2 linked regions of the Drosophila melanogaster genome follow. The protein of the gene in region 2 interacts with the protein of the main gene of each other region in a pairwise test. Each region holds a gene or a part of one and is shown on either strand. Other genes may lie near its edges.

Region 1 (4,330 bases), on a different chromosome or scaffold from region 2:
TTTGGCACGGGCATCTAGCCAAGCCTAGTGCACACTTAAAGCAATTGTCCCCGAATATATTTTCCGCTCTCAAAGCTTCAAGTAAAGGTCCTTTGGCTACTTTGTTCAGCATTGGCAAGCGAGACAACAAGGAAAACTTCAGGGAAAAAAGTGCAAAAACATCATACTGTTTATATATCAGCGGACACCTAAAAATTTGTATTTCAAATCATTTTTAGCTCAACCCAGTCTAAGCCAGAATGGAATGCGCACAAGATAATTATCTTTCGAAGTATTCATAATTTCAAAAGCAAACAAAGACAAGGTTAATATGAAAATTATAAATATCCCCCCGTTCTTCGATTCTTACAAAATTACTGCTTTCTTCTAAAATCCTAAAACCATGCTGTACCCCAGACGATATAAAAAAAAGATATATAAAGCGTCACAAATCTAATTTCCACACCCGTCGTAGCTTTTTAAAAGCAACATGAAAAGCTTTTTAAGGGCTGCTAAACGCTCCGCATATGAGAACATGCGTTGGCGCGCATTTCAATTGCACACTAAGTGGCAAAGTGGCAGCTACAGTATTACTCGCTATTCGCCGAAAGCGTGATCTTATGAATGTAGTTTCTATAGATAAGATAATCTAAGATATATATGTACCTTCTTGGGAACACGTAAAATTTTACCGACTGGACCATAAATGGCATGCGTATCCATTTCAAACGCTTGCAAACGTTTCTAAACACAAGATAACGAATAAAGAGCACTTCTTAATTTGAGAAGTCCTTGGACCCTAACCCCTCCGGGAAGCCCACAAAATAGGCTGTGTCTTTGTGTTGGGTAGTTATATTTATTAAAGTGAAATCAAGTGTTACTCCAATAGGTTAAAGAGAGTGTTACAATCTCGCATATGTATGTATATGAGATATATTTACGACAAAAAATGAACCCCGCGAATCAAATCAGCAACAGATCATTTATACACAATTTAAATCGAGTCTCTGCTGGGGTTAAAAATAAAAAAAAATGTAAATGAAAGTAGCAACTAAGTAAAGTTGCAATGCTGCAAATCCAATTCGTTCCCGAATCCCCTAGCTGTTTCAACTTAATGTTGGTCCCGCGAAATGCCGCGCTTTACTTCTCCTCGCACCACTCGTTCTCCTTGCGCACCTGCTCCTCCTCGGCGGGCGAAAAGTCCTTCTTAATGTTGAAGGTCTTGCGTATTTCCTCGGGAGTCTTTCCCTTAATCATGTTTGCAACAGTCTTGCAGGTGAGCTCCAGAAGGCCCTTAATGTCCAGATAGTTCGCTGCCAATATCAGCTCAAACAGTGTGCCCTGGTCGACTTTTAGGAAATCTGCATCCCATGAGATAATGTCGTCTGTGCGCTTCTCCTTGCTCTCATCATCCTCCGTTGGCTGGGGGTCGTCCTTGTGGTAGTGAGCCCAGGTAAGCACCTTGCGAAGAATCGTCGAATTCACATTGGGCAACGGCACAATGGCATTCTCATCGTCCTCCATGCCGCAGTCCTCCAGCATGGTCTTGATAGTGCCGGAGCACTTGGCGATCTGGATATCCGTGTCAAAGATCTCCTCATCCGAAGATTGCAACTTGATGCTGGGCATTTTGGGCTTTCCTGCAGTTAAGTTCAGTATAAAACATTAGGTTCTAGTTGAGAAATGTGTGGCAGTGCAATCAGTGTGTTTTTTAACAGTGTGTGGATCCCAATAGTCATTTCAATGCGTTTGCTTCGCATGCACCAAGTCGTCAATTATTGATAACAGATGTAAGCATATAAGCATGCGTGTAAATGAATATAAGCAACTAGGATGCAAACAATCATTTGTGAATTTTGTATGTTCATATCCCTGCAGTTTGCAGAGTCGCTCTCTTTAAAATTCAAACCGACTAAAATGAGGTCATATCAGATCAAAATTTGTATCGTATTACTCTTGCAGGTTATGCCTGTGTGGAAATCACCGTTGTTTTCGTACAAAGATAACAAACGATTGTGCACTTTCGATGTTTCTTTCGTGATGATTCAACGATGAAATGGTGATGAAGGGATAAGTAGAATCGAAACATAGAGAACGGCACTTTCCAGAAATGCTCACCCACACATCCACTCACCCCCACACAAGCCGACTCTACCACAGATGGATGCGTGCGTATGTTCGTTTTTCTTGTGGTTGCGAAAGCGTTCTTGCTTGCTATTTGTAGGCTTTTTATTTGTTTTCCGACTAACCTTACGATGATGCCTTTAAACGTACTGACACTATTTCCACGCAGGCTCCAACTGAGATATAAATCAACACACCAAATTCACAATACTCACGTAAAAAACGAAACGGCTATAGTGACCAGATGGCGAAACTCTAAAAACACCTCTAAACGTCTTTATCGAAGGCACGAACAACAACTAGCCACAATGAAAGAAAACTGGCGGGAACCAGGTGGACCTGGTAATGGTAACTTGCAGCACAGATTGGTGGCGAAGTCGAAAGCAGAATACGCATTGATAAATCTGAACACTTTCACACCGAATTGCACAGTAAACGGAAATTAATTTCTCTGAAAACAAATTACACCGATACTTTCAAATGGCGAATAGAGAATGGTGAGCGTCTCCGCTAACTGCGGTGGCAGTTTTAATCGTAGCAATCGATGGCATTCAATTATCGATACATATCGCACTGACTTCAGTGGTCGAAGCATCAACGTCTTTTTACATCACTAATCCGAGTATCGCGGAAAAAAAGCAGCCGCATTTTGTAAACTAAGTCCGAATTAGAGCTGATACAAGTCCCGACTTATTCGTCAAGAGGAGCGGCGGTAGCAAATAGCAACAGCGACACTTGGTGCAAAGAACGCAGAGGAGAAAGAAGTGAAAAAAGCATACATACATACGCACGTACACACGTCTCGCTAGTAGAGGGAATATATGTATATGCATACGGCTGGGTTTACGTGTGCTTGTGTGTGCTACAGCCGCTTCTAGGCGTGAAAGAGCGAGGGATACATTCTCTTCCCATACTCGCGACTTTTGGAGCGTCTCGCGAGCGAAAGAGAAAGCACGAGCCATGGACGGCGGTTGGAAGTTTTTGTGGAACAAAGGCGTCAAGAACTAAAATGATTTGGGACTGCAAGCGCGATTTATTTTGGGTACGCAGCCAAAGCCAAGCCATCCAAAACGGAGTCCAGCTCCAATCCAGTGTGTCGCCGTTTGTATATGTGAGTCTCGACGAAAAGCCGTGGAAAGAGACGGACACACGCACAGAGAAGCAGCAGACAAAGCATCGTTTTGCGAGATTGAGCGAGAGGCACAATATCGCCTTAGTTAATAAATTCATTTAAGGTAAATGCAGACAACAAATCGAAAAAGTGCAAAAAAAAAATCGGAACAGCATGAAGTGCATAAACACAGCAGACTGTGCGTGCATGTGTGTGTGAGTGTGTGTAACAGGCGCCGCCATTTTTCGTTACCATGCAACCAGCCAGCGTCTAGGGTTGGCAACCGCTTCGAAATGCTGTTAACAACAAAAAAAATTGGCGAACTCAAATTACAAAGCTACATCCACCCAGCGAAATTTATTGTAAACACCCGTTTTTCGGTTACCCCGCACACAAGTGTACTTAATTTGCAAGCCTTTGCGCACTTGGCAACCCTTCATCTTCCATTCTCACTGCGCATATGCCTCCCTCTCTCTCTCACCTGCGTTATGTGGTATGCGTTTGTAAACAGCTGAGAGAGCAATTTGCAAACGACATTCGTTTCCATTCAGAACAAATCGACCAACAAACAAATATTCAATTCCAGCGATGTTTCCCAGCACCACCCACTTGTGTTTATGATAGTTTATGCCCAGAAAGGTATTTCAGTTGTTGCACAGACTCAAGAAAATACAAGATTTGCAATTACTGTCTGCTGCGCATGCAAATCGATAAGACATTTTTGTTATGCTCGCCTTTTGTTCACCAGCATATAAATATATACGCGTACCCATTCATTTTAAATATTTTCGGCAGTAAGTGTGTGTATTCCAGGATTACCGAAGTGCCTTTTGTTTTTTGTGGATCAATACTTTTTTTTACATGTGCTTTCAAGTTAATTGATTTTTGTTAAACGTGTGTGTGCATGGGCTAAAAGGGCTTGGAATAAGTGCGAGCGAGAGGGATGGCTGTCGACGACATCAGTTACAAGCCCCCTCTTTCTCGGTCTCTCTCTCTCTCTTTCAAACGCGAAGCCGTAGGAATAAAAACTAAATTAGGGCCATTTTCAACGGAGCGAATATATTGGCAAAATGCCGGAACATATGGTTTGCGGATTGAGGATTATTGCAAGTCATC
Region 2 (5,290 bases):
GCCAACAACCAGCAACCTAAAGCCCACCCACTGGCTTCACCTCCTCCTACTCCTCTGGGCTCCTCTCCACTCCAACAGTTGGAAACATGCCCGGCAACAATCCGGAGGAGCAAGGGTGTCTGTCGGGGGACGCGGAACGAATCGCACCGGGTTCAGAGCGCGGCTTGCCTTTCATGTTGTTCAACTTTGTACCTGCAGTTTGTTATTGTTTCGCCAATTGCGTGTGTCGAGGGCTTAAACTCAGCTTTGTGCTGCTAGACTCGCCTGAGATTCTAATGGTGGATGAGCCATTTCTGAGCCTTCATTTTAGGAGGAAAACGGTCAAACTCCGATGGTGGAATTCGCACCCTAACAGCTGTTATTGCCTTCTTATCGGCTGCGTGAATTGGTTTCTCTATTGGTCAACTGGGATTACTGACCTTCCCATACAAAGCATGCTGTTGATAACAACTGGGTTATAAATCACGTTCTTGGAATGACTTAGCATGACTAATTTATCCGTTCAATATTTATAATATTTAGGAATAGATCTAACAGCTTCAAAAATGCAGATTAATATATGATATACCACTTCATCATTTCCTCACTTGTAGAATAACCACTATTGAATCCACAGCTAAAACTGCATTTTTAACGTTCATATTTTCATAGTCGTTGGCTAACATGTTACAGTTTACAGTCTTGGCCTAATACTTTGTTGTGAACGTAATATATCAATCTGTATGAACGGAAGTTATTTCTCCACTTCGACTGGACTCAGGTGGCAATAGCCAGTGTATCGGCAGGCACTCACTTGGCAGCAATGTGATAAAGTCCCGCTGGAGCATCGGCTTGAGATAGGCATTGATCTGTCCGTGTTGATAGTGGCACATGCGCGACAGCAGGTGCTCCACAAAGTCCACCTGGCCCGACTCGCTCCACTGGGTGAAGTACTGAAAGCAGAGTTCCCGCTCCGTTTGGTAGGTGGGCGATGAGTCTTTCTTGCGCACCGGGTCGTACAGCATAGTGGTTGTGAACTGTATGGGTGAAAAGTGGCATAAAGAAGCAAATTAATTATGAGATTGCATTTGTTTCGTTTTTGTTGTTGTTGTTGTTGTTGTGGGGCGACGATGATGTGTTATGGGGTGCTTCGATGTCAAGGGGCGATCGTTAAAACTGGAAAAGTAGGTAGCTGCTGGTTGTGCAACTTTTCTTTAGTTTAGGCTACCGACGACCCAAACTGGGGGCTTAAAATTAGGCAATTAGCTTCGACTACGCTGAGCGTTTCTTTCTATTCGTAATTTTTCTCATTTTTTTTTTATTCGGCGGCGAAAGAGTTTGCAAAGCGGATTTCTGAAGAATGAAAAACGCGACTGGCAGCGCAGCGGTAGAAACAGATCATTCACACGGCCAGTTTATAAATAATAATTGTATCGATGTTTATTTGGTCTTCCATGCTCATTATGCGCATTCTATATATAGACATACCCATTGATGGGCCCCAATTAAATCAAACGTCATCAATTAAACGCTAAAGATCTCGGCAAACAATTTTATCGGCGTGAAGTAAACAAATTGGTCGATTCGAGTGTGAGTGATTTGAGTAATTAAGTTAACTGCAATGCCAGCAATGCGAAAACCTTGCCAGTATTTGTAGTAAATGTTGTGAATATGTATGTACAAACATACTAAGTTGTATTCGGGTCGGTTGCCTTAATTTAATTGCCGTATTATGGTTTTTGTAAGCTTTAGTTGTTTGCCTTTGCCTGGTAACTTTGAGCTGAAGGATGCTACTTAAACTATGCACTGATTATGCTATGAGAAAGGTTTGTGGCAATAAGCAATATGAATGTATATATCCTCTAATTGATAGTTAATAATATCTCGTTTGTGTTTCGCTGCTATTACCAAGAAGCCATCTGTCTCATTAACCAGATTCCACCTTGAATCCGGCGAAATTAAAGCCCAGATGACTCAAGCGAAACCGAGCGAAAAAATTGAAAATAAAAAACGATTTTTTTGGCCCATTACTCGATGGTTTTACGCGAACTGACCTTCAGTAAGCCGCCTATCGTATATAGCTCCACAATTAAATAAGTACTGATTGAAATGTACACGGCCGTACTTTGTGCACAGCGTTTGTTATTAATTGTGTACACAAACTCGAGGCCAATTAACGAAATCTTAAGACTCGAAAACCGGAGATTGGGGATATATACATATATATGCAACGATAATTGAACAAAGGGGATGATGATGATGATGCTGGCGATGAATAAGTAGGCTAATGTCTAATATCCACAAGAGTTTAAGGTTATAGCCCATGGGATGGCTATGTGCCACAGTGTCCGAATTTAATAGAGTGCACGAGTGCAAAATCTGTAGTATATACGAAAATAAAGCACTAGCACACGCACACCAGTGTGTGACAACACGCATAGGTGGCGTAGGTGTGCGTGCCCCTGTGTGTGTGTATGTGTGTGGGTCTATTGAGGCGACACCTTGGGCAATATGTACTTAAATCGGTGTGTTTAATGCATTTAGAAGGGCAGAGATCCCGCTTAAAGCAGGTAACTTAGCGAAAACTCACGGCCTGTGCATTGGAGTTGGTTTCGTCCATTATTTTGTCAGTCTCCATTTTCATCATTGTGTTGTTTGTGTGTTTGTAGAGTTTACTGGCTCGTCGTTTGCTTCTCTCTCACTCGCTCACTGCCAGAGTTTTCCGTCGCACTCGCACTCACGCACCACGTAGCGTTTTTCGCTGATTTTTCGTTAACACGTCTCGCAAATCGCTTTTCGCCAGCGATTTCATATAATTTTTAGGTCGAAGGAAAATTACAATTTGCTCGTCTCGGTTTCTGTAGGACCGCAGGCGGGATGCGCGAAAACGGCGAGGCGAACGCGATGGCAAAGGCAAACTCAACTTGCCGAGGTCCCTCACCAATTGAGCGAATGTCGTATGCAAGTCATTATTCTCACCGCTCCTGGCGGCTTGCACGTTGTTTGTTTTTGCTTATTCAGATGACGCCAACTACTGGACACTCACTTTTCACACGGAGAATTTTATTTTTTTTTACCAGATCTCGCCCAAATACGGACTGCGAAACCACAAAGCCAAAGATGAGTGTGCACTATCGTTATCGATATCTGTCACATATATGAACGGTCACACTGCCACGGGCCAGTGCTGCAAAATACGGCAAGAGCACACAATTTCGTCGTTTCTGCTCTAAATTTTCGAACAGGTTGTTGCAATTACAACTATTTATGAAATGTTTTTAAGTTATTTCCCTTTCAGAGCTATGAATTGTAAGCATTGTATGGCTACCCAACACACTTTGCCAGCTCTGACAACTCTGCACATCCATATCAGCTGATTTCTCGATCGCTCTCTCCGTTTTCTGTTGTTATTTAATTGATAAACTTGTTGCGGGGGGCCACTCTCCAGATAACCCCCCACTTTTAAATTAATAAATATTGCGCAAGTAAGTGCCGTCCAGCTCGCCGAATGCTCACTTTCATTCGACCGCAGAGCTGTTCCCATTCTAATCATTTCCTTGAGCATTCATAATCGAGCTACAATACACATTTTTTTTCAAATTCACAGTGCAACTAACTCAAATCCTCAGGATGGCGTGCCAAAACCAAAATGCCGCCAACTTCTTGAGCAATGGCAAGAAAATTGTGGGGGTGGCTCTCAATTACATGTAACTCAGTGTCATAGTAATCTTGGGTCTGCATGGGTAATCCACGAATACTTTCTTCCGTCGCAGGGACGTTGTGCTGGCCAGGAACGTTCCCGTGCCCAAGGAGCCGCTCGTCTTCCTCAAGCCCACATCTTCGTACCTCCAGGAGGGTCAGCCCATTGTGGTGAGTTCTACAGAGAATTAATTAAGATAACATTAAGATAGTAGCAAGATAGCAAAAGTCCATAAACTGGAGAGTAAACGAATGGAAATTGAAAATCCCTCTTGTGATTTAAACTTTGTATTCCCCCAGTTACCAAAAGTCTTTACCAAGGTGGCATATGAAGTGGAACTAGGCGTGGTGATTGGAAAGCCCTGCAAGAACGTATCCAAGGCAGATGCCATGAGCTATGTGGCAGGATACTGCCTGGCTTTGGATCTAACTGCCCAGTGCAATTTGGTAAGAAGATGGATGCACTCAATCAAGAGCCATTGTTGTAATCAATAATCAATTTCAGGGACCAGCTCGGGCGGCCGGTCATCCGTGGACCTTGGGCAAGGGATTTGATACTTCTACGCCCGTGTCCCAGTTTATACCCATCGAAAAAGTGACGGACCCGCACAACTTGCCGCTTTGGCTCACCGTCAATGGAGACCTTAAGCAAAACGGGTGCACTGCAGACTTAATATTCAAGGTGCCCGACATCATTTCCTACGTGTCCAAGTACATGACCCTGGAGGCCAACGATCTGATCCTTACCGGAACGCCCAATGGTGCCGATGCGTTCAAGGCAGGCGATGTAATTCAGTGTGGAATGGCCGATCTCGCTAAATTGACCTTCCAAGTGGAGGCTGAATAAAAGTGAAGAATTTAATTTTGATGCTATATTCGGATATAATTGGATATGTGCAATGGCTATTTCTTCTTATTACTGGCCACATCATCACAGGCAACCAAATATTTCCACATCGCTGTGCAATCGCTGGTGTTTTTCCATTTGCTGGTCGGGCAGTTGATGTAGACCTTTTCCATGACGCAGGCCAGCAAGGTGGCAGGATAGAAGTCGCAGTCGCCCTTCTTGGGCATCCATTGGAACTCCTGCACCCGCTTCCTAGCTATTTAGAATTAACCATTATTAAGTAGAAAAAAACTTTCGTATGCTAACTCACCGTAGTCCGTGCAACTATTGAGGCTCTTCAACATCAGTTGCGACATATTCGGATCGTTTTTGTAGCGTTGCTGATAGCTCTTCTGCAATGCCTGGGTATTAACAGTGCCATTGCTCAACAAGAATCCATTGGTCCTGAAGGAGCACTCCGCAATACACTGAGGATTACACGTTTCCCAAGAGTAAAGCCAGTTTTAAAATGATATATTTTAGAGCGATACTTACTGCATGCAAAGCCACTTTATCCGACTTAAGATTGCGCACTTCCCCATTCGAATTGGTTGAATTATTGCCCAGCAAGGACTTGCGACACGAATTGATGGCCTTGTCGTTTTTTTGAACATCACAGCATGAGCTCAACTGCCAAATATTCAGTTGTAGTAATAAAAACACGATTTTATTTGAAGTTTTCATACAAACTTTGGCTGCTTTGCGTGATCGCAGCTTGTATAATTA

The links.
Region 1: the proteins of slmb (region 2) and SkpA interact in a two-hybrid assay, tested with the Drosophila melanogaster proteins (3 studies listed by BioGRID).

Annotation. Positions count from the first base shown.
Region 1 is NC_004354.4:654,388-658,717, reverse strand, and holds SkpA (SKP1-related A), read right to left. Parts: upstream 2,605-4,330; 5' UTR 1,934-2,604; exon of another isoform or gene 1,620-1,933; 5' UTR 1,609-1,619; coding exon 1,120-1,608; 3' UTR 819-1,119; downstream 1-818.
Region 2 is NT_033777.3:21,124,369-21,129,658, forward strand, and holds the start of slmb (supernumerary limbs), read right to left. Parts: upstream 3,118-5,290; 5' UTR 2,627-3,117; coding exon 2,570-2,626; intron 1,017-2,569; coding exon 794-1,016; intron 1-793. Other genes in the region: CG5793 (uncharacterized protein), read left to right, coding at 3,610-3,686, 3,753-3,849, 3,979-4,125, 4,184-4,525; Obp93a (Odorant-binding protein 93a), read right to left, coding at 4,582-4,781, 4,836-4,992, 5,060-5,194, 5,251-5,290.